3 linked regions of the Arabidopsis thaliana genome follow. The protein of the gene in region 1 interacts with the protein of each later gene in a biochemical or structural test. Each region holds a gene or a part of one and is shown in the gene's direction. Other genes may lie near its edges.

The links.
Region 2: the proteins of ADA2A (region 1) and CBF1 form a complex in vitro, tested with the Arabidopsis thaliana proteins (one study listed by BioGRID).
Region 3: the proteins of ADA2A (region 1) and HAG1 form a complex in vitro, tested with the Arabidopsis thaliana proteins (2 studies listed by BioGRID, with this or other methods).

The regions. Positions count from the first base shown.
Region 1 is NC_003074.8:2,467,709-2,476,469, reverse strand, and holds ADA2A (ADA2 2A), read left to right. Parts: upstream 1-3,374; 5' UTR 3,375-3,407; coding exon 3,408-3,460; exon of another isoform or gene 3,461-3,562; intron 3,563-3,688; coding exon 3,689-3,750; intron 3,751-3,833; exon of another isoform or gene 3,834-3,834; coding exon of another isoform or gene 3,835-3,886; coding exon 3,887-4,089; intron 4,090-4,217; coding exon 4,218-4,283; intron 4,284-4,369; coding exon 4,370-4,495; intron 4,496-4,573; coding exon 4,574-4,646; intron 4,647-4,752; coding exon 4,753-4,813; intron 4,814-4,902; coding exon 4,903-4,961; intron 4,962-5,115; coding exon 5,116-5,166; intron 5,167-5,253; coding exon 5,254-5,482; intron 5,483-5,571; coding exon 5,572-5,782; intron 5,783-5,874; coding exon 5,875-6,153; intron 6,154-6,261; coding exon 6,262-6,456; 3' UTR 6,457-6,639; downstream 6,640-8,761. Other genes in the region: AT3G07750 (3'-5'-exoribonuclease family protein), read right to left, coding at 1,252-1,491, 1,582-1,725, 2,033-2,157, 2,252-2,330, 2,532-2,624, 2,713-2,769, 2,862-2,984; AT3G07730 (uncharacterized protein), read right to left, coding at 6,864-8,285. UniProt on the Arabidopsis thaliana protein: Required for the function of some acidic activation domains, which activate transcription from a distant site. The exact mechanism of action is not yet known.
Region 2 is NC_003075.7:13,018,999-13,025,724, reverse strand, and holds CBF1 (C-repeat/DRE binding factor 1), read left to right. Parts: upstream 1-2,728; 5' UTR 2,729-3,162; coding exon 3,163-3,804; 3' UTR 3,805-3,945; downstream 3,946-6,726. Other genes in the region: RS40 (arginine/serine-rich splicing factor 35), read right to left, coding at 452-557; DREB1A (dehydration response element B1A), read left to right, coding at 6,722-6,726. UniProt on the Arabidopsis thaliana protein: Transcriptional activator that binds specifically to the DNA sequence 5'-[AG]CCGAC-3'. Binding to the C-repeat/DRE element mediates cold-inducible transcription. CBF/DREB1 factors play a key role in freezing tolerance and cold acclimation.
Region 3 is NC_003074.8:20,210,867-20,220,434, forward strand, and holds HAG1 (histone acetyltransferase of the GNAT family 1), read left to right. Parts: upstream 1-2,539; 5' UTR 2,540-2,726; coding exon 2,727-3,359; intron 3,360-3,446; coding exon 3,447-3,511; intron 3,512-3,620; coding exon 3,621-3,701; intron 3,702-3,800; coding exon 3,801-3,872; intron 3,873-4,116; coding exon 4,117-4,285; intron 4,286-4,555; coding exon 4,556-4,599; intron 4,600-4,844; coding exon 4,845-4,944; intron 4,945-5,343; coding exon 5,344-5,412; intron 5,413-5,496; coding exon 5,497-5,551; intron 5,552-5,780; coding exon 5,781-5,899; intron 5,900-6,008; coding exon 6,009-6,102; intron 6,103-6,214; coding exon 6,215-6,356; intron 6,357-6,445; coding exon 6,446-6,509; 3' UTR 6,510-6,787; downstream 6,788-9,568. Other genes in the region: DJ1F (Class I glutamine amidotransferase-like superfamily protein), read left to right, coding at 182-361, 592-1,065, 1,159-1,524, 1,831-2,010; BZIP25 (basic leucine zipper 25), read right to left, coding at 7,219-7,524, 7,618-7,743, 7,848-7,923, 8,199-8,385, 8,852-8,912, 9,020-9,475.

The DNA.
Region 1 (8,761 bases):
CCAAAATGCGTGAATTTTTAGGGTTTGAAGAGAGAGAGAGAGAGAGAGATGAGAAGAGAGAGTCTGGGGGAGGGACAAATGGGTCCACCAAGTGAAAGTGTTTGCTTTTTTCCTCTCTTTTGGCTCTTTTTCTTTTCCTCCACGCTCCTCTCCCGCCTCCACGCGCCACCGTCTCTCCGTACCACGACCATTTTTGCTATTAAATCTTTTTCTCTTTTTTTTTTTATTTTATTTTTAGAAATAAATATTTTTACTGTCAAAATTAACTTTTACAGTTAAAAACCTTTAAGTACTGTAGTTATCAATTTTTTTGTGTATATTTTATTAGGGTAAATCATAGACTAAATATATTTGATTAGGTTTGACTCTTTTTCCATAATGAAAACAAAATAAGAGTTAGTGGCCAATAAGAAAAGAAAAAATCACTTTAGTCAATCAATTTAGTTTCATTTTCTTTTCCAATTAGTTAACCGACTGATTTTCAAATCTTACTTTTTAATTGTTTATGCTAGTCACAATTTAAATGTGGAAACGATGTTAGTTGATTCGCAAAAACAGTTATCAATATCATTGTTAGTTAGTTCATCGGAATATACGTAAATTCGTTGAGTTTTGCCATTTAACGCTTTCTATTTGCTCCCTCCTTTTGTTGTTTTGTAGTATGTACCATATCATAATTCTATGACATAATAGATGACTACCAAATTTTCTCTGCCAGCTTGCTTGTTATGAAATGAAGGAGGAAACAAATGTGAATAGTATCGGATTTGGGAGTTTTACAGAAAACAATTGAATGTTTCAAAGCCATTTTTACCAAACCCGAAGCTGAGATACACGTGACCAACACTGCTCACACACTCTTTTGACCTTTGAGCTTAATCATGGACCACCAATCTTCTCTTTTTTCCAAGTCCACTTAATTTCATTTGCTGACCTCATCTCCATTCTCATTTCCTCCTCCCAAAATATCACAAATCCTTTTGTAACTTGTTATGTCTTTCACTTTAAACACAGAGATCCAAGGAACGCCTCTTTTAATAATCCCTAGATGAGATATAATGTTACTAATACTATAATGGCAAAAATATCACCTTTACTATCACAAAGCATGGAACATTAGAACATAGGAAAAAGGATTTTGATTAGCTTAATCTGTTCTGACTTCGTATAAGATTTTCCACAGATACAAATATTGTTGATCCCTTGCTAACATGTTTCATCTTGAAACTTTGATTCTCTGAGACTCAAGAGTCAAGATTCGTCTTCGCAGGCCTCTGCGGCTGAAATCTCTGAATCAAGTTTGCTCATCAGAGTCTCTGTCACATGCTTGGCAACAGAGATCATGTCAAGGATGACGCTTGGGTCTAAGCCAGACCCGCTTCGTTTGGTTAACCCACATATATGGCCTGTCCGATTCACAGATATAGATACAGCTGAGCTCATCTGAGACTCCTCTTCTGCTGTTGCATCAACTATGTAATGCGTTCCCACCTGCAAAAACCAAGGACAGCATGGTAAAAGATTAGCGAAATGTACATAAGAAGATGTCGATGTGAATCAAGAAAAGTGAGATTCGATTACTTTTGTTAACGTGACTATGACCGGGACACTGGAAGTGTCAAATTGAAGATATTCCTCGTCGCTGATGTCAATCTCTGGTTGCTCATCATCTGCTACTTCAGCTGAAACATTGACTTTTGGGATGGCCGTGTTGGTTAAAGCAGCCTGCAGGAGTATAGTCAACAAGTGCATTAAAGCATGTGATCAGCCTTGAGGAAAGATGACTTTTGGGTTGCTTAAACTATCAATTGGAAACATATCGTAAAGCTACTAAAACCAATAACAAGACAACTACATTGAGCTAATCTATATACACTTAACTAAAGACCCATTCCCTTTCGTTTCCTATATTCTCTGGCCTTTCCTTTCTCATGATTCTGATTGATGGGTATGATTTACTCACTAACATTCGTAACTAAAACCTGAGACTAAGGGTTAAGAGAGAAAACCAAACACACATCACAAGAATTACCTTAATGGCAGCACCCAGGGCATCCAATAGATTCCCATCCGAACTAATGACAAGACCATCAATATAAAGGTCCCAGCAAACTTTTCCTTCTTTGATTAAAAGCGAAGATAAATTTATTCCAGCTCCTGGTACCAAAACATGAATTGCTATAAACGTTACAAACAGAAAGCGTAACAGTGTGCAGGTAAAAAAAAGCATTGCATAAACATGATTGCAGACCTGCTCCACTTTTGCCACCCAGAAGACATCTTTGAAGAGCCAAAGCAAGCTCAGAAGACAATTCCTCACCTCCTCTCCCCTAAGTAACAACATATCACAAAGAATTAGCCGCCTAAAGACTTAACACAGTAGAATTTAGGAGATTCTGAAGAAAAGTAATGATAACCAAAATCTCATGTTGAACAATTCCACTAGTAAGAGAAACACCAATAGAACGATAGAACGGGTGTGACAAGTGCTAGATAGAACCAAAACCAAACGAAATAAAAGAAAAGCTCACCCCAAATGTCGGTTCAGCTGTTGGACTGCAATCAATGAAAACTGCAACCTTTCCTTTATCGGGTTGAAGTGAACTTGGCCTCCCAATTTCAGCCTGCAATTACACAAGATTACTGGGTAACATCTACAATAGCACTTCCCATTCAACAATAGAACAGTAGCAGAGAGAACAAAGGAAGTACCTTTACACTAGCAATCACATCGGTTCCACCAATTCTAACTCTCGCTGAACCATTAGCCTAGAGCCAACAAAAACAAGAGAAAGAACATATCTGTTAAACAACTGGGAAGCAACAATGAGAAGCGGACGAGCTCTAGGAGATTACACTACCTGCGGAATAACACCGGTTTCGACGTAGATAGGACGGTAAGTCAATCTTTTCCGACCATCAGTTCGAAGATCTTGAGCAATCCCACCTTTAATGAAATGTTGTTCCCCAAGAGAAAGCCCCATCACTAATACTACACAGAGAACGAATTAGATCAACTGCTGAGGAATTTCTACCGGAATGACAAACTTCAAGGTTCACGGATTGGTGCTAGGGTTTAAGAGACAGCTCAAACAAAGTACACATCTTTATACAGCACAATCAAAACCCACTAATCTTCTTTACCTTCCCGGAGAATTCAATAGAAGACACAACTCTGAAGTTTTCCGGTGACCCTAGCGGCAACTTTGGATTGGTTAGGTTAAGAGAGAGACGTGACCACTGACAACTGCCGTAGGGTTTAAAGATGGCGTGAACATAATTATTGACACTTGTTAAGGGTAATTTAGTCATTTACCGACTTACCATTTTTTCACTGCTTTTTAGCGTTTTCTCGCTCTTCTGGTTTTTTCTTCAATCTGCCGGGAAGAAGTGCGAGCTTGGTGCCGATGGGTCGTTCGAAACTAGCTTCTCGTCCTGCTGAGGAAGACCTGAATCCAGGGTTCGTTTAAAGTTTCGTTCTTTGTCCATCTTAGCTCGAAGTCTTCTAGGGTTTTCTCTGTTCAATTACTTACTTGTCTTTGCGAAAACATTTCAATATCTGGTAATCCACTTAGCTGTGTTTGATTATCTGAATCGGAGTTCTTTTGGTACTTGTGGGTGGCTCTTGATTTCATACTGCTGTCGTCTCTTGTCTTTATCCTAATTTTGATGATTTTGGCTGTTTCAGAAAATCAAAAAGGAAAAAGATATCATTGGGTCCTGAGAATGCTGCGGCATCAATTTCCACCGGTAGGTTTCCGTTTACTTGTGCAATTAGGTGTGATACTGATAGGACTAAAGTTTCTGCTGTGGATAGATATGCATTGATGTATCATGTACCAAGCTGCGTTTTCCAAAAGTTCTTACATGTACCAATACATTGTAGGAATTGAAGCTGGGAATGAGAGGAAACCTGGCCTTTACTGTTGTAACTATTGCGATAAAGATCTGTCTGGTTTGGTTCGTTTCAAATGTGCTGTTTGTATGGACTTTGATCTTTGTGTGGAATGCTTTTCTGTCGGCGTTGAACTTAATCGTCACAAGAACAGTCACCCATATCGTGTTATGGTTAGTTTCCAACGCCGAGCAGTATATTTGAATTCAATTCAACGCTTTGTCAGCTGAAAAGTAATTAGATTAGTGATTGTGTTTAAAACAAAGAAAATGTTCTATGGTTGTATTTTTGTTTGTATTGAATCTACCCTTTTGTTTGACAGGACAATTTGTCTTTTTCGCTTGTTACTTCTGATTGGAATGCCGATGAAGAGATACTCCTTCTTGAGGTAATCATTAATCGTTTCTGATTGTACACTCCCATGTCTATATAGAGATTCCATCTGACTATTGGGAAGTAAATTGACTGTGTTAGGCCATTGCGACATACGGGTTTGGCAATTGGAAAGAAGTTGCAGACCATGTTGGTAGTAAGACAACGACAGAATGTATTAAACACTTCAATTCTGCTTACATGCAGTCACCATGCTTTCCACTTCCGGTAAGGACTGATGAAAACACATGATCGTCAGATAGTTGAACCTAGCTTGTTTATTTACTCTAGCTCCCCGCTCTGTAGGACTTGTCCCATACTATTGGAAAGAGCAAAGATGAGCTGCTTGCTATGAGTAAAGATAGTGCAGTCAAAACAGGTCAGCTTTAAAATCTATTAGCGGGGTTTCTTGTTGATTTGGGACTCGTATATTAACCTTGACTGAAAAAAGGAGGATGCTGAGCTCTGTTTACTATTTGTCACAGAAATACCTGCATTTGTGAGGCTATCTCCAAAAGAAGAGTTACCTGTGTCAGCTGAAATCAAGTATATACTTATGCTTGTAACAATAGTTTACCTACGTTTACAATGTTGAATGCACCTTTTTAAAAGTACTATTATGTTTCCATGGGCAGACACGAAGCTTCAGGGAAGGTCAATGAAATAGATCCACCTTTGTCTGCCTTAGCTGGAGGTATGTGAAAATGCTTTTATCTATATAAAATTGTAGACATTATTTGCACTTAGATTTATGGCTAAGGACGCAAATCATCCGCATTTCGTACTACGACCCCAAATATTATCTCTTCCATGATTCCATATGTAAAGTAATACTTTTTATTGTACAGTCAAGAAGAAAGGCAATGTACCGCAGGCTAAGGACATCATCAAGTTGGAAGGTTTGTTATATACTGGAACAAGTTTTTATGCAAAGTGATATTTACGCGAACAAAAACTAAAGGTAGTTAACGGCCCTTGTGTCTTAGCTGCAAAACAACAATCTGACAGGAGTGTCGGGGAGAAGAAACTCAGACTTCCTGGAGAGAAAGTTCCATTAGTAACAGAGTTATATGGTTACAATCTAAAGAGGGAAGAATTTGAGATCGAACATGACAACGATGCTGAGCAACTGCTTGCTGACATGGAATTTAAGGATTCTGACACAGATGCTGAGCGTGAGCAGAAACTGCAGGTTCTTCGTATTTACTCGAAAAGGTACACTTATCACAGGAACAACCATTTTTAAACCGGAGAATTTTTTCATAAGCCAATGCTACAAGCCAAGATTGTGCCTTTGTTGGCAGGCTTGATGAGAGGAAGCGGAGGAAGGAATTTGTTCTGGAAAGAAACTTGTTGTACCCTGATCAATATGAGATGAGCCTTTCAGCAGAGGAGAGAAAAATATATAAAAGCTGTAAAGTGTTTGCGCGGTTCCAATCCAAAGAAGAGCACAAGGAACTGATTAAGAAAGTCATTGAAGAGCACCAAATTCTCAGAAGAATCGAGGATCTTCAGGTTTGATGCTTAAAATTTTACCAAGCTTGAGTACTGGATTACAAACTCAATTAGGTGGGAACATTAAGTTGAGCTTTTAATAAATGTTGCAGGAAGCTAGAACTGCTGGTTGCAGGACAACTTCAGACGCAAATAGATTTATAGAAGAGAAGAGAAAGAAGGAAGCTGAAGAAAGTATGCTGCTGCGGCTTAACCACGGTGCACCAGGCAGTATAGCCGGTAAAACACTAAAAAGTCCAAGAGGGTTACCCAGAAATTTGCATCCCTTTGGTTCTGACTCACTGCCAAAGGTCACACCTCCAAGAATATACAGCGGTTTGGACACTTGGGATGTTGATGGTCTCCTTGGAGCTGACTTACTCTCAGAGACCGTAAGAACAATAATTTTCAAACTTGATGTTTGTCATCTTATTTGTGATTTTGTTGATTTGTTGACATTATTCCTATGGTTTGAGAGATTGAAGCTGTTTTTTGTGCAGGAAAAGAAGATGTGCAATGAGACCAGAATACTGCCTGTACACTATTTGAAGATGTTGGATATCTTAACAAGAGAAATAAAGAAGGGGCAGATAAAGAAAAAGTCTGATGCTTATAGCTTCTTCAAAGTAGAGCCGAGTAAAGTAGACAGAGTATATGATATGCTGGTTCATAAGGGAATAGGTGACTCAACATGACTCATAGCTTCATGGTCCTAACATGTACTTCTCGAACATATATTAGCCATGTAAATATAAAGGAAGGTGATGCTGATTTTGGTTACACATCTTGTTCTCTGTTAGTTTCGACAACTTGACAATGTCTGATTGTTATGACCTTCAAAGGCTGTTTCAGATTTTTTGATACAACGTTTAAACTGAATATTGTAATGCCTTCACTCATCTGATTCCTTCAATTTTTGTTATATGAGATCAGAAAGTCTTGAGACATTGCATCAGTTTTCAGGAAAAACCTAAATAAAACCAGATTCTTTGGTTACAAGAAACTACACTGGATCAGATTGCCATCCAACAACAAAGAAAAAAAAAAAAACAGACAGAAATCCAAAAACTTAATCTACATGAAGCCAAAAGCTTTACCATTTCTAAGGTTGCCAACTTTGAGTCTTCTCCCAAGGCTTGAAAACACCATCATGAGAAACATATTTCAAGTAAAAGAAAAAGCCACGCAGCAACTTCAAAGCTCTTGCCTTATCAACACCAACCACAAGCTTGTATTCTTTTTCGAAATCAGGGAAACTTTCTAGATAAGATTGTCCCAGTTCGTCAGTCTCATAATCAGATCCTCTTCCCTTTCGTAGTTCTCTGCATCGAGTCATTTTTTTATGGATTGATACGTAACGATGGAGCTGCTTCATCTCTCCTTCATCATATGGATTTTTCAAAACATCCATTAGCTCCTTTCTAAACCAACTGCTACTACTTTCATTCTCTTTGCTTCCTTCATCAAGATCAACCACTTTCTTGGACGCCACAAACGGTGTACACTCCTCTCCATCCAAAAAAGGGGAATCACCCATCGCAATTATATAATCAGACCAATCATCATGTGGTTCAACCTTCACTTCTACTAGTGGATCCAATTCAGGTACCATTGTCGATTCTTTTAGAGTATCCATATCATCTTTCTGAAGATTTTCCATTGGCTCAGTTGTCGAATCGCTAAGAGAATCTACAAGCCATGTGAGGTACCTCATGTAATCCTTATCCACAACCGCTTCACTCCCCTCATTCTTCTTCCTTCTCCCTACAAAAACTTCTTTGCTCCTTGAAGAAGTCTCATCTACATCATTAACCTCTGTAACTCTATGTACTCGCTCTACGTGATCAATCTCCACAGCAACCCTCTTGTCTTCTTCAGTTCTAACCAATGGAACATCTTTTATTAAAGCATCGTCACATTTCCTCTTTCTTCGTTCAGCAACTCTGTTGTCTCTTTGAATGTCTTCTTGAGTTTTAACCAATGGAACATCATCTCTTCTTAAAGTCTCAGCCTTTGACTCGGAAAGTTTCCTAACTTTGTTGTCTCGTTGTTGAATGTCTTCTTGTTGGGTTTCGAGTGAAGGAACGTCTCTTGAAGTCTTTGCAGCTTCTAACTCTGCGATCCTCCGCTTTCTTCGTTCAGCAACTCTGTTGTCTCTTTGAATGATTTCTCGGATTTTAACTCTTTCAACCTCAACTCCAACAGTTTTCCTCTTGCTCTGTTGATTAACTCTGTTCTTCACTGGATTCTCATTCCCAAGCTTAGATCTCTTTGAATCACAAGAAAAGATCTTTAATCTACGAATGTCAGATGCTCCATTGTCAACTTCAAGGCGAGTGCTTGAACTTTTCTTATCACCTCTTCGAAGATGATCCAAGAAGACGTTGTACTCCTTATCAACCATAAGATCATCATCATCATCATCTTCGTCAAGACAGATAATTGGAACATCGATTTTTTCAGACATTTCATTCACCATAAACCTTGTATATCCATCATCAATCACAATGGCTTTCTTCTTCATCGCAATCAACACTCTATTAAATTGATTAAAAATAGAAAAAATTAGGAAATAATTATGGAAGTAAAAACCCTAAAACGATCAATCCGTTGTCGCTGAAACCATAATGCAGGAAAAAAAAAACTATGAAAGCTAGAAAGATAAAACATAGAAGGAGCAAAAAAAGGACGCAGAATCGAGCATACCGTTTAGAGCGACTCTGCTTGTGAACACTAAACTGAGCAAATTATTCTCCTAAAATAAGAAACGGAAAGAAGAAGAAATTAATGATATAACGTAAATATTAGGGTTTAAATGCAGATCAAATTTTGCTATAATAATTAAGGAAATTTCTGAGAGAAGCAGAATATGAAGAGACGTGAGATAACACTTAAGGAGGCTATACGCCAAAGCTATAAACCAATTATTGTTATCAGACAAAATAGTTAAAGAGACCTAAGGAAAATCCACGTCATATATTTCATATTTTCTCACCATAT
Region 2 (6,726 bases), on another chromosome or scaffold:
CAATTAAGATGGCAGTGCTAATGCGGATGGAAAGTGACTGATTTTGAGGGATAAGAGATGGATTTCCCTATGGTCCATTCATGGCCAGGTGTGAGTATAGGCGTCCCAAGATTATCAAACACATCCTGCGTCAAAGAAAATGCGGTTTTACACTAATTTTTTTTCTAAAAATCTTATTCCTCTGAAGTACTTTCCAAAGTTCAAGCAGGCTGCATCAGGTGGCCAGGTGAATGTGGTCAATGTTTAGTACTCCTTCCAAAGGGAGATAGTCCACCAGAGCCTTCTCGTGGATGGAATGAAGACGAGAGTGGATTTCATGAAATGCATTTGAATTTCGCTTTTTCATTGTACTTAGTGGATAACAATACTGCTTATTATAATTCATTCAGGTTAACCACAAAGACAGAGTAGTAAGAGGCAGAAGAAAGAAAGAAAGAAAAAAAAGGCTCACCAGCTTTCATATCAACCCTCTCAACCTTGCCGTATTTCCTGAATAGTCGTTCCAGGTCACCTTCGCGCGCATCATACTCAAAGTTCCCACAGAAGACTGGCTTCATGCTTCCTGTATAGACAACCACAATAGTAAAAAAGATTCATGAGACTTCCTTAAATGATAATTTAAACACGAATATCACAACTAATTTGTCACCAAGATGAAAACTTTTAACACTAAAAACTAGAGCCCTCACACTAAATCGAATTGTTTTGCAGTAAATTAGGACTTGAAACTCATCTATTCGAGCTCCAAATCAGTTAAATCTAGGAACTGAACTAGACAGTATTAGAATCAAAAGTACAATGCAACAGATCTAATCTAACTACAGTTAGATCTGAATATCATTCACAAGATAGAGAAAACGAGAACAATCCACGAAAGCATGAATCTTTCATACCAGAAAAACAAAGAAGGCTCTGATGAGATTCAACTTATAAAAAACGAGATGGACCAATTCTCTTGTTCTACTTTTCACCAACCAAAAAAAAAAGAAGGAAGAAGGAGATGAGAACCACGACGATATAGAGAGTGAATAAACTGCATCAATTTACCTGTAGAATGATTTTGGCAGGCGTAGTCGCGTGGAAGCCCTAGAAGAAGAAGAAGCTCGCGTCGAGAGATAGGTGAAACTGAAAACAGAGTTAGGTACGATTTAGATAAAGAAGGCAAGAGAGATCATTTGGATTTTTATTTTATTTTCTTTTCTTTTTAGTTTCAAAGATATTTTTTTCAGAACACATTTTGACTTTCTTATTTTGTCTGAAGGACGAGAAGTCGAGAACGTCTACTTTTTAGGAGTATTGGGCCTATATGTTAAACAAATTATAAGAAGCCCAACAAGTAAACAAAATTGAAGCTGCTTTCTAAAAAAACAAAACAATAACAGATTATGAAGACAAACAAATATTAGATTTTTTAATTTTGATTAGAATATACTGATTAATAGAACTAGAACATGTATCACATAACATCTACACAATGAATAATGCATACAAGTTTTTAAAAAGTCTTGCAACTTAACACTCTCAAGATCCCACATGTCAAGTTTTGGATTCGATGAAACATATGAGTTTGTTAGTAAGTTTAATAATTGTTGTTATAAAGAAATGTGTATATTTATATATTACAATTAATTAAATAAATTGTTTTCCTCTTCATTGGATTGCTTCACTTATGTTAAGAGTTTAGTAGTTGCTTTCAAGGCCGAATGATATGTGGCCACGAACATATCATCACACGTGGAATGAGAACGAGTTTCGACTTTTCAAATATGCCATAAAGCCTCAATTATCTTCTTATCTCGCTTGAATATGCAACAAAAAGCTATTAAGATATTCATAAAATAGAGGCGTCTCAAATCTACCAACAAAAAGCTACAAAAGATCCAGTCCAATCCACTGAAGAATCCCAAAACAGAGTAGAAACCCAAACAACCCGATTCAGCAAATAATTCAAAAACGAACGTCCGTACGATTTTCCAAAAACAGAAAGATGGGTTCCACAAGATAATGCGTGGGGACGTCAAAATCCTCTAAACCCGTGGTTCGGCCGCGGAAACACTGTCCCTACCTTCCCCACCAGCCTTCACTGGCCCCATACGTCACTCTCAAGCTTTACTTTCTATTTTCCACTAAAGCCAATTTTGTTGTTTTCTTCACCTTACCACTCTTTTTTTCCCTCTTTGTTGTGTCTTCTTTTCTCCTAAATGTCAATAACGTGAGAGCGAGAGGTAACGAGAGAGATATTTTTGTCAGCGAATATATTTCATGCATATCTTATTGTGAAGATTTTTTATACCTTTTTTTTGTCAATACAATATAGCTATTATTGAGATTGAGATATTTTGTGGGAATTATTGGGATTCAAGATAACTTGCTATTTTGTATTGGTCTAATCCTTCGCTTAGTCCTGTCCTGGTCCATTTACATGTTTTTGGTTATAGTTTGTTTAAACTGAATAATTTTGTTCATCATATGCATTTATGACTCATTTTTAACCGTCCATCGAAATTGATAATTATCCATTACCAAATCTGATTAATTTTTTTAAAAAATCAAGCTTTTCTATATTGTAGTATTATTTTTGGTTAAATATTAGGACATCTACTTCCAATACAAATACTACATGAGTATTTAAAATATCATTTCACAGAGATATTTATGTCTATTATGTTATAGACGGGTGACAATTAATGACAATTTGTTTATTCATAGGAATTTAAAAACGATTGTAACAACAGCAGCCAGCCAACCACACAGGCACACACTCGATAGAATTTAAAGAACTCATAAAGGTTAACGAGTGAAGAGTCAAAAGTCTCTTTACAAGGGTCAAAGGACACACGTCAGACAGCGAGTGGAACATCGTGGGATTGCTTCGCTATGTACTATACACGTGTCATTCACAGAGACAAAAACTCCGTGTGCTCCCCACATATCCGTTATCTCTCCTCCGGCCAATATAAACACCAATTCTCACTCTCACTTTTTATACTAACTACACACTTGAAAAAGAATCTACCTGAAAAGAAAAAAAAGAGAGAGAGATATAAATAGCTTTACCAAGACAGATATACTATCTTTTATTAATCCAAAAAGACTGAGAACTCTAGTAACTACGTACTACTTAAACCTTATCCAGTTTCTTGAAACAGAGTACTCTGATCAATGAACTCATTTTCAGCTTTTTCTGAAATGTTTGGCTCCGATTACGAGCCTCAAGGCGGAGATTATTGTCCGACGTTGGCCACGAGTTGTCCGAAGAAACCGGCGGGCCGTAAGAAGTTTCGTGAGACTCGTCACCCAATTTACAGAGGAGTTCGTCAAAGAAACTCCGGTAAGTGGGTTTCTGAAGTGAGAGAGCCAAACAAGAAAACCAGGATTTGGCTCGGGACTTTCCAAACCGCTGAGATGGCAGCTCGTGCTCACGACGTCGCTGCATTAGCCCTCCGTGGCCGATCAGCATGTCTCAACTTCGCTGACTCGGCTTGGCGGCTACGAATCCCGGAGTCAACATGCGCCAAGGATATCCAAAAAGCGGCTGCTGAAGCGGCGTTGGCTTTTCAAGATGAGACGTGTGATACGACGACCACGAATCATGGCCTGGACATGGAGGAGACGATGGTGGAAGCTATTTATACACCGGAACAGAGCGAAGGTGCGTTTTATATGGATGAGGAGACAATGTTTGGGATGCCGACTTTGTTGGATAATATGGCTGAAGGCATGCTTTTACCGCCGCCGTCTGTTCAATGGAATCATAATTATGACGGCGAAGGAGATGGTGACGTGTCGCTTTGGAGTTACTAATATTCGATAGTCGTTTCCATTTTTGTACTATAGTTTGAAAATATTCTAGTTCCTTTTTTTAGAATGGTTCCTTCATTTTATTTTATTTTATTGTTGTAGAAACGAGTGGAAAATAATTCAATACAAAACAAATCGTTTTCTACTTCTTTGCTTCACATAAGTTAAAAGTCAAATATTTAACAAAAAAGATATTAAAAGTCATATTGTAGTTGCTTTCAAGGCAAAATATGTGGACAGATCATTACACGTGGATGATGTTTGTAAATATGCCACAAAACCTGCATTACATTATTTTATTCTATCTCATGTAAGTTACAGATCTTACAATTTAGCAACAGAAAGCCACAAAATATTACATAAATTGGCTCGTCTCGAATCTAGCAACCAAAAAAATTCAGCCCAGTTCACTATAAAGAATATAAAAAAAAGTTTCCTAAAATAGTGTATAAAACCGAAACAAACTAATTCAACAAACCCGAAATAAACAAATCCGTACGACAACCAAAAATATCTTTCAGATGGGTTCCACAAGATAACCCAGTGCCAATCAGAATTCTGAAAGCGTGGCTCGACCGCGGAAACCATTGTCCATACCTTCTCTTCTTTGTCCCCCCTTACGTGGCTCGCTGTGGAGTCTCGTACCACGTGTCGCGTCACTTCACTCTTTACTTTCTATTTTCCACTAAAATCATAATTTGTCTTTTTCTTGACCATACCCACTCTTTTTTCTTCTCGTTGTCGTCTTGCTTCTCCTAAATATCTCAAATAACGTGAGAGACTTGAGTGTGAGAGGTAGGTAACGAGGCAGACTTTTTTTGGAAGCGAATATAACTTATGCTGATATTTTATTTAGCTTTCTGATTGGAGTTGAGATATTATATAGGTATTATTGAGATATTATATACGTATTATTGAGATTTGAGATATTTTGTAGATTTTATAGTTCTATCGGACTAATTCTTGGCTTAATCCACTAACATGTTTTTGTTTAGTTAATTAAACTGATTATTTTCTGCGCTATAGTTTTGTTAAACACCTTTTAGACGTAACAAAGCAATTACGCTTGATCATCCATCGTAGACTCTTTTTCTTTTTTTACATCTCATAGAAGTTTTGTTTAAACACAGCAGGAAGTAAATTATTTTCTTATTACGTACGTATGATTGTTTTTAGACTATTTTAGTACTTTGAGAAGTAAAATTGGGGATACGAGATAAAAGACAATTGATTAACATGCTTTTTATTTTGACTTCCGAAACTAATCATGGTTGTCTATGTTTATAAATTGTGTTCTTTTTGTTGAAAAACTCAGATAATGATTAAATCAGTAGCGAATGGATGGAGAACACATGATTTTAGATTGCATACCGTAAAACAAAAAAAATCATGATGGATGTAGAACATTCAAATGGGTCAAATAAATACGTATGTGATCAAAAGAAAGTATGTGATCAAAAGGGTTAGCACGAGTACCTTGGGAGGAAATTCTTCTAATTATGAATTATGCAAGAATTTTCGTCAAGGGAAGGTGGGGAAGAGGTAGCTAAAGAATAGAGAATCATATGACTAAGGACGTGGTGGTTGAAGGAAATGAGAGAATACATGAAGAAGAGAAACTTCTTTGAGTGAGAAGGAAGTGCGCTGGCTGGAGAGAAAAGAGAGAAAAGAGTTTCGAGTGAGAGAGAGGGCGTTGAGATTGTGATCAACTTAATGTAATATGTTCTTTTATTACATTTTCTTTTTGTCATATACTCAAACCTTTTACTATTTTGTCTCATAAATCTAACACACCCCACCATTTGTTAATGCATGATGGTAGAAAATATTAAATATAATTAACTACTTTTATGTGATCAAAATTAGGTTTCAGACTCGTTTCGCGATCCGATCTACAATTACAACTGCATGCTTCTAATTGATCTAAATTCTAAATTTTTTATACATATTAAAAAAACAACTTTTTGTTAAATTCTCAATCATCATTTTTGTGATTAACAATTTTTTATAACTCTAAACCAATAATATTTGATTATTTATTTTATATGTATAATGATGATTGAGAATTTTAATTAGCAGTCTATTTAGGGTTTTCCTAAAGTTACAATATGTTGTTACCCTTCTAGTTAAATTTTCCAAAATACCATATTTCATAACTTTTCAAACTGTTTATTAATTCAACCGTAAAAAGCACTAAAATGTTACATTTGATCATTCACCCAAATTAAATTCAAAAGTTTTTCCGCCAAAACTACTTGGTGACTTACGTGCTTATATACGGACGACTATTATTATGTTCTATACTTTTTTATACTTTGTTGCACAAATATCTACTCTCCCAATTCATATTCTAGAAGGATGTGCTATAAGAATGGGAGAAATTACACAAGAAGAGCATCTTTAAATATCCTCTCACAATCTTTATGTCTAATACACGGGTGAACAATTAACGACAATTTCTTTATTCAGGAATATAATAATGAATAACGGTTACCCTACACCTAGTACACTAAATCCTTAACAGCCACACATTCATACGCAAAGAGTTTATAAAACTCATAAAGGTATAATAATAACGAGTGAATAAGTCAAAAAAAGTCTTCTCTGGACACATGGCAGATCTTAATGAGTGAATCCTTAAACTACTCATTTTACAATTGCTTCGCTGTGTATAGTTTACGTGGCATTACCAGAGACACAAACTCCGTCTTCGCCTTTTCTTTTGCCTCTAAAATATCTTCCGCCATTATAAAACAGCATGCTCTCACTCCAACTTTTATTTATCTACAAACATTAAATCCACCTGAACTAGAACAGAAAGAGAGAGAAACTATTATTTCAGCAAACCATACCAACAAAAAAGACAGAGATCTTTTAGTTACCTTATCCAGTTTCTTGAAACAGAGTACTCTTCTGATCAATGAA
Region 3 (9,568 bases), about 18 Mb from region 1:
GAAATAGAAATTGTTGTAGTTTTCTATAAATTATTTTTTAATAATCTCCAAATAGAGCAACGTATCCACTTATATATATAACCTTATCTCTTTTTTTATTGGAGAAAAAAAAAGTACACTGTGATAATTTGAACTCATATATATACACACTAGTTGTGTGTGCTTGTCTTAAGAAAAAACAATGGGATCAATGGCTCAGAAATCGGTTTTGATGTTATGCGGAGAGTTCATGGAAGCCTACGAGACTATAGTACCTCTCTACGTCCTCCAAGCGTTTGGTGTTAGCGTCCACTGCGTTTCTCCTGGTCGCAAAACTGGCGACAAGTGCGTCATGGCCGCTCACGATCTCCTTGGCCTCGAGGCATTTCTCGAATCTTTCACTTTTTCTTCATTTCAGTTTTTTTCCCTTGCAATCGTTCTTTGCATATTTAGTAAAACAATGCGATCAAATGCTCATAATTGGGTGGACTTTCCCCTTTATTATCTTTATCCAAAAAGTTTAGATAATTGGGTGGTCTCAACCCAAAATGCATGGGCCTACTCTTAACAGTAAAAAAGAAGAGTTTCAATTTGACTTTTACCTTTTTACAGATATACACCGAACTGGTGGTTGACCATCTAACACTAAACGCTAACTTCGATGGCGTCATCCCCGACCAATACGACGCCATCATCATTCCCGGTGGACGTTTCACGGAACTTTTGAGCGCCGACGAGAAATGCGTGAGTCTTGTTGCTAGATTCGCCGAACTCAAGAAGCTCATCTTCACGAGCTGCCACAGCCAGCTGTTTCTTGCGGCGGCAGGTCTGCTCACCGGTGGAATGAAGTGCACGGCGTTCGAAAGCATGAAACCGTTTATCGAGCTCTCCGGCGGCGCATGGTGGCAACAGCCTGGAGTCCAGACCCTTTTCGAAATCACTGATTGTGTCAAGGACGGCAGTTTCATGTCCACTATGGGGTGGCCAACGCTTGGCCATAGTCTCAAAGTTTTGTTAGAATCACTTGGCTCCAAGATTTCTAGCTCTAAAGAGAATCATCAGACTTCTTTGCTTTTCTTGATTGGGGTAAGTAGCTTATTTTCATAAGACTCTCTTTTAGACTTTATATATTGGAATTAAAAAAATGGTCTGACTAATACGTAATTTTGGTATATTTAGGATTGTGTTGAAGATTATAGTATCAACGTACCATTTAAAGCGTTTCAAGCTTTGGGATGTAAAGTGGATGCAGTGACGCCAACCAAGAAGAGAGGTGAGAAATGCGCTACAATCGTACACGACCTTGAAGACGGACGGCAACTTCCTACTGAGAAGTTTGGTCACAACTTCTATGTGACCGTTGCGTGGGATGATGTCTCTGTGGATGATTACGACTGCATTGTGGTTCCCGGAGGAAGATCTCCGGAGCTCTTGGTGATGAACCCCAAGGCCGTCGAATTGGTCAGAAAGTTTGTTGAGAAAGGCAAGTTTGTTGCTGCCATTGGAATGGGAAATTGGCTACTTGCCGCCACAGGCGCCCTTAAGGTAATATACACCGTTTTACAAAAATTCGTTTTACTATTCTAAAGACTTAAAAGTTAAAACTGAAGCCGAACCAAACCATATTTTAATTTAAACGAAACAAAAATGTCAAGATAAGTTGCTCTAAGCACATAGGAATCTCCTATGGTTATGGTTATGACTAATATTATTCCAGCATATTGTTGAAGGTTAGTAAGATATAATTCATCACATTTATGGCACCACTTCCTTAGCATAGATTATAATTTTTGCCAGCTTGTTATAACTCATCTAATTCCCATTGTGGCATGCTATATTATTACATTGCAGAAGAAGAGATGTGCAAGTAGTTATGGGACAAAGGTGGCTGTGAAGGTTGCTGGTGGTGAGATCGTGGAATCTGAACGGTGCGTGACCGACGACAAGCTGGTCACAGCCGCATCAACTTCCGATCTTCCTGCCTTTTTGTATGCATTGTCGACTGCACTTGGTCTCTCTGTTGTATTCTAATGTCAAGTGGTGCTTTAACGTCTAATGCCTAAAAAAATAAAAACATATCTTTGTATGTCGAAATATAAGGTCGTCCCTCTAATTATTTATGTACAAGCTTGGATTTGCATATATATATGGGAAGAAGAGTTGCCACACTTGCTTACACCTCTTCTAATTGTGTTTTTTTATAAGAAATTACCACTATCAAGTTGTCATTCTCCTCGTTTTACATTTGGTAAACAAGCTCTATTGACCATTTATGTTGTAACACTACTTCAAGACTAAAGTTGATTAGAGATAGCAAAATCTGTCACCAGCAAATTGTGTTTCCTTGTTAAATACTAGTAACAGATTCCAAACACATTAAATTTTGTGAAGTTAAATTTAACAACATACTATAAAATAAAACAACACATAAACGGATTAAAGACGTTAATGTTCATCCAAAAAGTATACTGAACTTTTAAATAATTTACCGACGAATTGTACTGTTTATATCCGACCAATATAGTTAATCACATTTTAATCACTGCATAAATTTACTCATAGGAATTACAATTACCGAATTAGTTTCGGTTTAAAATTTGTTGGATCAATAAAACAAAAAAAAAAAAACGATGCCAGAATATTCCGTTCGTCGGCGTAGTCTTTCCCGCCCCCAAATTATCTGAGCAAAAACCCTAGACTCTCGATTTCGTCACGATTTTCTCAATCACCTTCACTATACTGCTTCGATGGACTCTCACTCTTCCCACCTCAACGCCGCCAATCGTTCCCGCAGTTCTCAGACTCCTTCTCCTTCTCATTCCGCCTCCGCCTCCGTCACTTCTTCTCTCCACAAACGCAAACTCGCCGCCACCACGGCAGCGAATGCAGCCGCTTCTGAAGATCACGCCCCTCCTTCTTCCTCTTTCCCTCCTTCCTCCTTCTCTGCCGATACTCGCGACGGCGCTTTAACCTCCAACGATGAACTCGAGAGCATCTCCGCTCGCGGCGCCGATACAGATTCAGATCCTGATGAATCAGAGGATATAGTCGTGGATGATGACGAGGACGAATTTGCTCCTGAACAGGACCAGGACTCTTCTATCCGCACATTCACCGCCGCTCGACTCGATTCCAGCTCTGGAGTCAACGGTTCGAGTCGCAACACTAAACTTAAGACGGAAAGCTCCACGGTGAAGCTTGAGAGCTCTGATGGTGGAAAAGATGGTGGATCATCTGTGGTTGGGACTGGTGTGAGTGGCACTGTTGGAGGAAGCTCAATCTCAGGGCTCGTGCCAAAGGATGAGTCTGTTAAGGTATTGGCTGAGAATTTCCAGACTAGCGGAGCTTACATTGCCAGAGAAGAGGCTTTGAAAAGAGAGGTAGCTTATCACTGGATCTATGCTAATGAATTACTAGATGAGTTCAGAGAATCGCCATTGACAAATTTGGTGATATCTTTCATTTAGGAGCAAGCAGGACGACTCAAATTTGTTTGTTACTCAAATGATTCCATTGATGAGCATATGATGTGGTAATGCCTTCCATCATTTGTCTCCTGCCATTGAATTTAGCTTCTAATCAGCTATGCATTCTTCGTTCTAACCTCGTTTTTTATGAATAATTTGTTGAATGTATTCCAGCTTGATTGGGTTGAAGAACATTTTTGCAAGACAGTTACCTAATATGCCCAAGGAGTACATTGTTCGTCTTCTGATGGATAGGTAAACATGCTAAACTAAAGTGAAACATTGACAATTTTTGTAACAAACAATCGCAAATGGTAAGCATTCTAATATCTGTAACTTATGTTATTTGCCCAGGAAACATAAGTCTGTTATGGTACTAAGAGGGAATCTAGTTGTAGGTGGTATCACGTATCGTCCATATCACAGGTAAGGTTTTCGCATAACTCTTCCCATCTTTTGACCCAGTGATGATTTTCTCCACCATATGTATGTGAATACGCTTATACAGCTTTTTGCTGTTTAGAGAGTAGCATGTTGACTTGTTATCTTATATTATCATCAAACACAGCTTACTTTTCCTATAGAATATTTCTGAAACTGTCTGATGTCATAATGAGCATGAATACAGTCTTGACATGCTTATTAACTCCATTGTTTCCCTGGGATTCAGTCAGAAGTTTGGGGAAATAGCATTTTGTGCAATCACAGCAGATGAACAAGTAAAAGGTTACGGTACCAGATTGATGAACCACTTGAAACAACATGCACGTGATGTTGATGGATTGACGCATTTTCTTACTTATGCTGACAACAATGCTGTTGGTTACTTCGTCAAGCAGGTTGGTGTTTCGTATATTGTGCAATTTTTTGCTCTATTTTTAATCTCTCAACAAACTTCGACCAACTGTAGTACATTCCAGAAAAGTAGTTGAACTGTGTTTTGGATGTAATGTTTTCTATTGGTTAATAGGAGATACCTCAGAGTTTCACTTCTAAAAGTTCTGTTTCCACACTTAGCTATCAAGTCTACTTTCTGGATTCTAACTGTAATTTTTATATTCTTACAGTCGTCCACTAAGTTGATCTGTTACGTCTATTATCTTGTGCAGGGTTTTACTAAAGAGATTTACTTGGAGAAAGATGTATGGCATGGGTATGGAAACTATGTATCTCTTAAGTTCAAACTGCTCATTTACCATTCTTAACTTCTGTGCTTTATCTGTATGATGTCTAACTTAAATATTTGTTGGCCCAATTAAGCTCACAAACCTTAGAATACAAGCATTTTATTGCGTGGCTGATTATGCTACGAGAGAGCTATTTAAAACTTGTCTTTATCATTCTCTTCTTCATCTTGAAACTTACTTTTGCAAATAAAAACCTTTGAAATTTTCTTAGGTTCATTAAAGACTATGATGGTGGTCTCCTTATGGAATGCAAAATTGATCCAAAGCTGCCATATACGGATTTGTCAAGCATGATACGCCAGCAAAGAAAGGTAAGCCTTTGAAAATACCTTTTATGTGGTGAAAAAATATCTCGAGCCTTCAGGTTCATCTATACCCAAATAGTTCTTCAGGTTACGAAGCTATTTGTTTACTTTCTTTACTTTCACTATTTAACTCTAGCATTATGGCTGATTCTGAAAAAAATTAAAAACATAAGAAATACAAACTTGAGGATTCGATTATTGAAAGTTCCTCTCTTCTCTCTCTCGAGGAATTAATTAATGGAAATTCCTGTCTTCCCCTATGAGCCCAAAAATCAAGCTGCCCTCCCAAAAGCTATCTGCTTTCAAGAGAGCATAGCAACGTAACACTAAACGAGTAACCATTGTTACATTTCTGTCTAATTATACGTATCAGTTTCTGATCCGGTTGTACTTTTATAATATCAGGCAATTGATGAAAGGATAAGAGAGTTATCAAACTGTCAGAATGTGTATCCAAAAATTGAGTTTCTAAAGGTAAACATCAATGGTTTCATGTCTTGTGGCTATTATTGTATACAATGTTTCCAGTAGTAATAATAAATGAGATGATTTTTGCAGAATGAAGCTGGAATTCCTAGAAAGATTATCAAAGTTGAGGAAATACGTGGCTTAAGTAAGTTATGATTCTACTTGATGGTGTTATTGCAGTTTCTTACCCAAAATATAGACATATCTCCCTTTAAAATGTTCTAGTCATCTCAAAATTAAGATTGTGCTAGTCGCTCCATGAGATCAAGTTGATATGCATGTTTGAGATTCTCCTGCATTTGTTAGCTGTGGGCTAAGGGTTTATCTGTAATACATGAATTGGCTAATTCATGAATTATGGTATACTGTTGCAGGGGAAGCTGGTTGGACCCCAGATCAGTGGGGGCACACTCGTTTCAAATTATTCAATGGTTCTGCTGATATGGTGACAAATCAAAAACAGTTGAATGCACTCATGCGTGCGCTTTTAAAGGTTGTGATAAATCTTTTTTGTTTTGTTATTAATTATTATGTCCTCTTACATATTATGTTATTGCAATTACATGCCCTTTAATTTGACAAGCTGTAGTTAATTGCTACAGACAATGCAAGACCATGCTGATGCTTGGCCTTTCAAAGAACCAGTGGATTCTCGCGATGTCCCTGATTACTATGACATCATTAAGGATCCCATTGGTAAGAAGATATAGTTAAAATATCAATTTCGCTATTAATTATCCAGAATTTGTCCTCTTTTTAAGTAGAAGTGTTAAATCACTTTGGTAACCAAAAAATGGTTTGAACACAGATCTGAAGGTAATTGCAAAGAGGGTAGAGTCGGAACAGTATTACGTGACATTGGATATGTTTGTTGCGGATGCGAGACGGATGTTTAACAATTGTAGAACTTACAACTCCCCCGATACCATTTATTACAAATGTGCAACCAGGTAAGACGTTTTTTTCTTTCATTTCATTTCTTCTCTTCTTATTCAGTAATGAAATAGTGCATTTACTTTGTTTTTCTTTCTCTTAAAAGGTTGGAAACACACTTCCATAGCAAAGTACAAGCAGGTCTCCAATCTGGTGCTAAATCTCAATAGAAGAAGATGGTAGAGGTTATATTAATATCATTTTCTAGATCTTTCATTTTAAGATACTTTCATTGGAACTGGGAATACATGTATACTATTTTAGGCCCATGTATACTGGAGCTTAATTGTTTGTATGTTTTTTTTTCGGATAGGTAAATATTTGATTTAGTTAGATTCAGAATGTTTAAGTTTTTACTTTGTAGGTTAAATTTGTTCTATAAAGCTTATTTCCAACTGTAAAGACACATTTCATTTTACTAAATGTTTCTGATGAAAATCACATAACCAAATTTTGATATCGAACGGGATCACCAGTTTCGGTGGTTTTGATCGGATCAACAATGGTGAAGAGAATGAGCGTCATGGGTCATTTGTGTTTACACGCTTACACTCACGCTTACGCTGCACAGATTTCTTTAATCTGATGAATGTGAGTTGTTGTTGCTCAACATTTCGTTAAAACGGTTACGTTTGCCATAAGTAACTATTGATACATTTGTGTTTATACGCTTACGCTGCTGCACATGTTTACGTGATTACGTCTACGACCATTTCAACTTCGATTTGCCTTAGAAGCACGATAGCTTATACATTCTTCCATCATGTCCAATCATATATATAATATTAAGAGTTTACCGTCGCTGAGTCATACAGTAAATAAAAATACAGACAATAGTTACCTCAATCAAAATCACAAAACCAATGACTCTTTTTCTGGTTAATGCTTGTGATTCCAATGGGGTAGGGTTTCATACAGATTAGAATCAGGAGCAAATGGATTCTGCATGCCTTCACGGTTCACCTGTTCCGGCAAGAAATTTGCCGTCTCCACTCTCTGATTTTGTGCTAAACCAGCACTGGTGTTGGTACTTGAATTTGCTGGTTTCAAAATGTGGTTAGAGTTTGGCGGAATACTAGAGGAAGCACTCGGTGTGTTGCTGAATGGTATGCCCATGTTTGGTCTTGACCAATGCAAAGGGTTCACTCCTGTCACTCTTTTCACAGTTTCCTCTGCCATCTTAACCTGCACAGGTTTTTTATCAATGCAATTAACTTAGTTATTAAATCATAATCTTGGGTGTTTTAAATTCTTAACACTCGTGAGTCACAAGAGTACCTTTGTTCTCAAAGTTTCGATATCAGCTCTTAGAATTCTGTTGTCAACAGCAGCTGCATCATACTTATGATTCATGTCACTAAGACGATTAATTAAAGTTGAATGCTCGGCTCTTAATTGGCCTACCTACAATTGGTAAAAACTTTACCTATAAACCCCTGAAGACTGTTGAAAAGTAAGAAAGACTCGAGAAATGTATAAATGTATGAGCAACTAATAAAAGACCGAACCTGTGTATCAAATTCATTCATTTGTTCTTGCTTTCTTCTCCTAGAGCGCCTAGCGGATTCTCGGTTTGAGAGCATCCTGGGTAATTACAAAAAAAAAAAAATGAATCAGGATGACCTTCGAAAAAGTTAAATATATAGAGCCTGACTGTTTCCTAAGAACAACAGTCACAACATAAAATTGACTGAAACATTCCTCTACTAGATTTCAGTTCTTTCTTTCTCTTTAGAGAGAGTAGAAAGTAGAAACTATTAGGTACAAGCCTTTTCCCAAAAGCATGTCTATATCTATCAGCCTCGAGATTCAGAACGATTACCAGAAACATTCTAAGGTACAAAAATCAAGATTTGTACCTCCTAGCACGCTTCACATCAGTAGGATCTCCATTATCTGCGTCTCCATCAAGATCATCGTCATCAGAATCATCTCGTGATGAAATACTAGTTTGTCTGGCTGGAACATCAGGTTTCTTTTGCGTGCTTGTTGTGGGAGAAAATCTAACAGATGAAGCACCAGGTGAGGTTTGTGCCACAATGGAGCCTAGATAATTTCAAAATAATCCCATTATCCACTAACTGAAAAACATTTCATCCAGGTACATATCACAAGAAGCGGGAAATAAGAAAGCTATCTAGTATAATGCACTAACTTACACTAATAAGAATGGAGAGTCAAAAGGCTAAGAATTCTCATCTAAACGCATAATACTACGTATGCCTTGTTTCTTTCTTCTCAGAGAAAAAATTGACTCGACTAGAACAGAATTAAATATGAATGAACACAGAGAAAGCTGTCATCTCCAAAACAAAGCCTACTTATCTTCAAATTCCCTTAAAGTCTTGAGTTTACTGAGAGAGATTAGCAGTTAATTAATTGTCTAATCAAATTGACAAACAAATCTCGATGAAATGTTTGCTCTCTATGTAATCTAAACATTGACATTGACGAGAGACAAAGCTAGAGAGAGTCAAAAAACCAAAACCAAAACAAAGCAACGATACGTGACCTTGAGCTTGTTTTTGATTGCTAGCTGAAGCACTCGAATCTTCCGGTTTCACAGTTCCCACCTGAAGAAAATCATATCAAATCAACACACAACCAAACATTCCTTATTGTTGAAATCATCAATTCCTTTAATCTGAATACACATAAGAAATGGATCTAAGAGACGTACACGACGAGCAACAGCAGCGCAAGCAAGCTCGAGCTTGCTCTTAAGAATCGCATGATACTGATTAGGATCAACAACAACAGGAGCTGAAGAATCAACCGGATCAGACGACGGAGCACGATTCCGATTCTTCCCTTGATCATCAACAGGGAGCCGTCGATGATTCTGCGGTTTCTGAATCTCAACAACATCTTCGGTTTCGTCAACGGTTTCTTCTAATCTCGAAAGAGACTGAACCGGTGGAGGTGATCTCTCGATTGTGTTAGTCGTAGGGCTCGAATCGGAACCAGACAACTCATTGATAAGCCTGTGGAACGCCCACTCCGATTGACTTCGAGTCATCCCATCCGCCACGTTCTGCGTCGGTGACGGAGTCGATGACGATCCCGGCGACGGCGCCGGAGCGGGAACAGGCCAGAAGGATTCGGTCAAATCATCGACAGAGAAGACGATGTGCATCGCTTACCCAATCGCCTCAAATTCTTCTTCTTCTTTTTTCTCTCTCTCTCTCTCTCTCGCTCTTTCCTTAATTTGTTTTTGTCTTACGTGGAG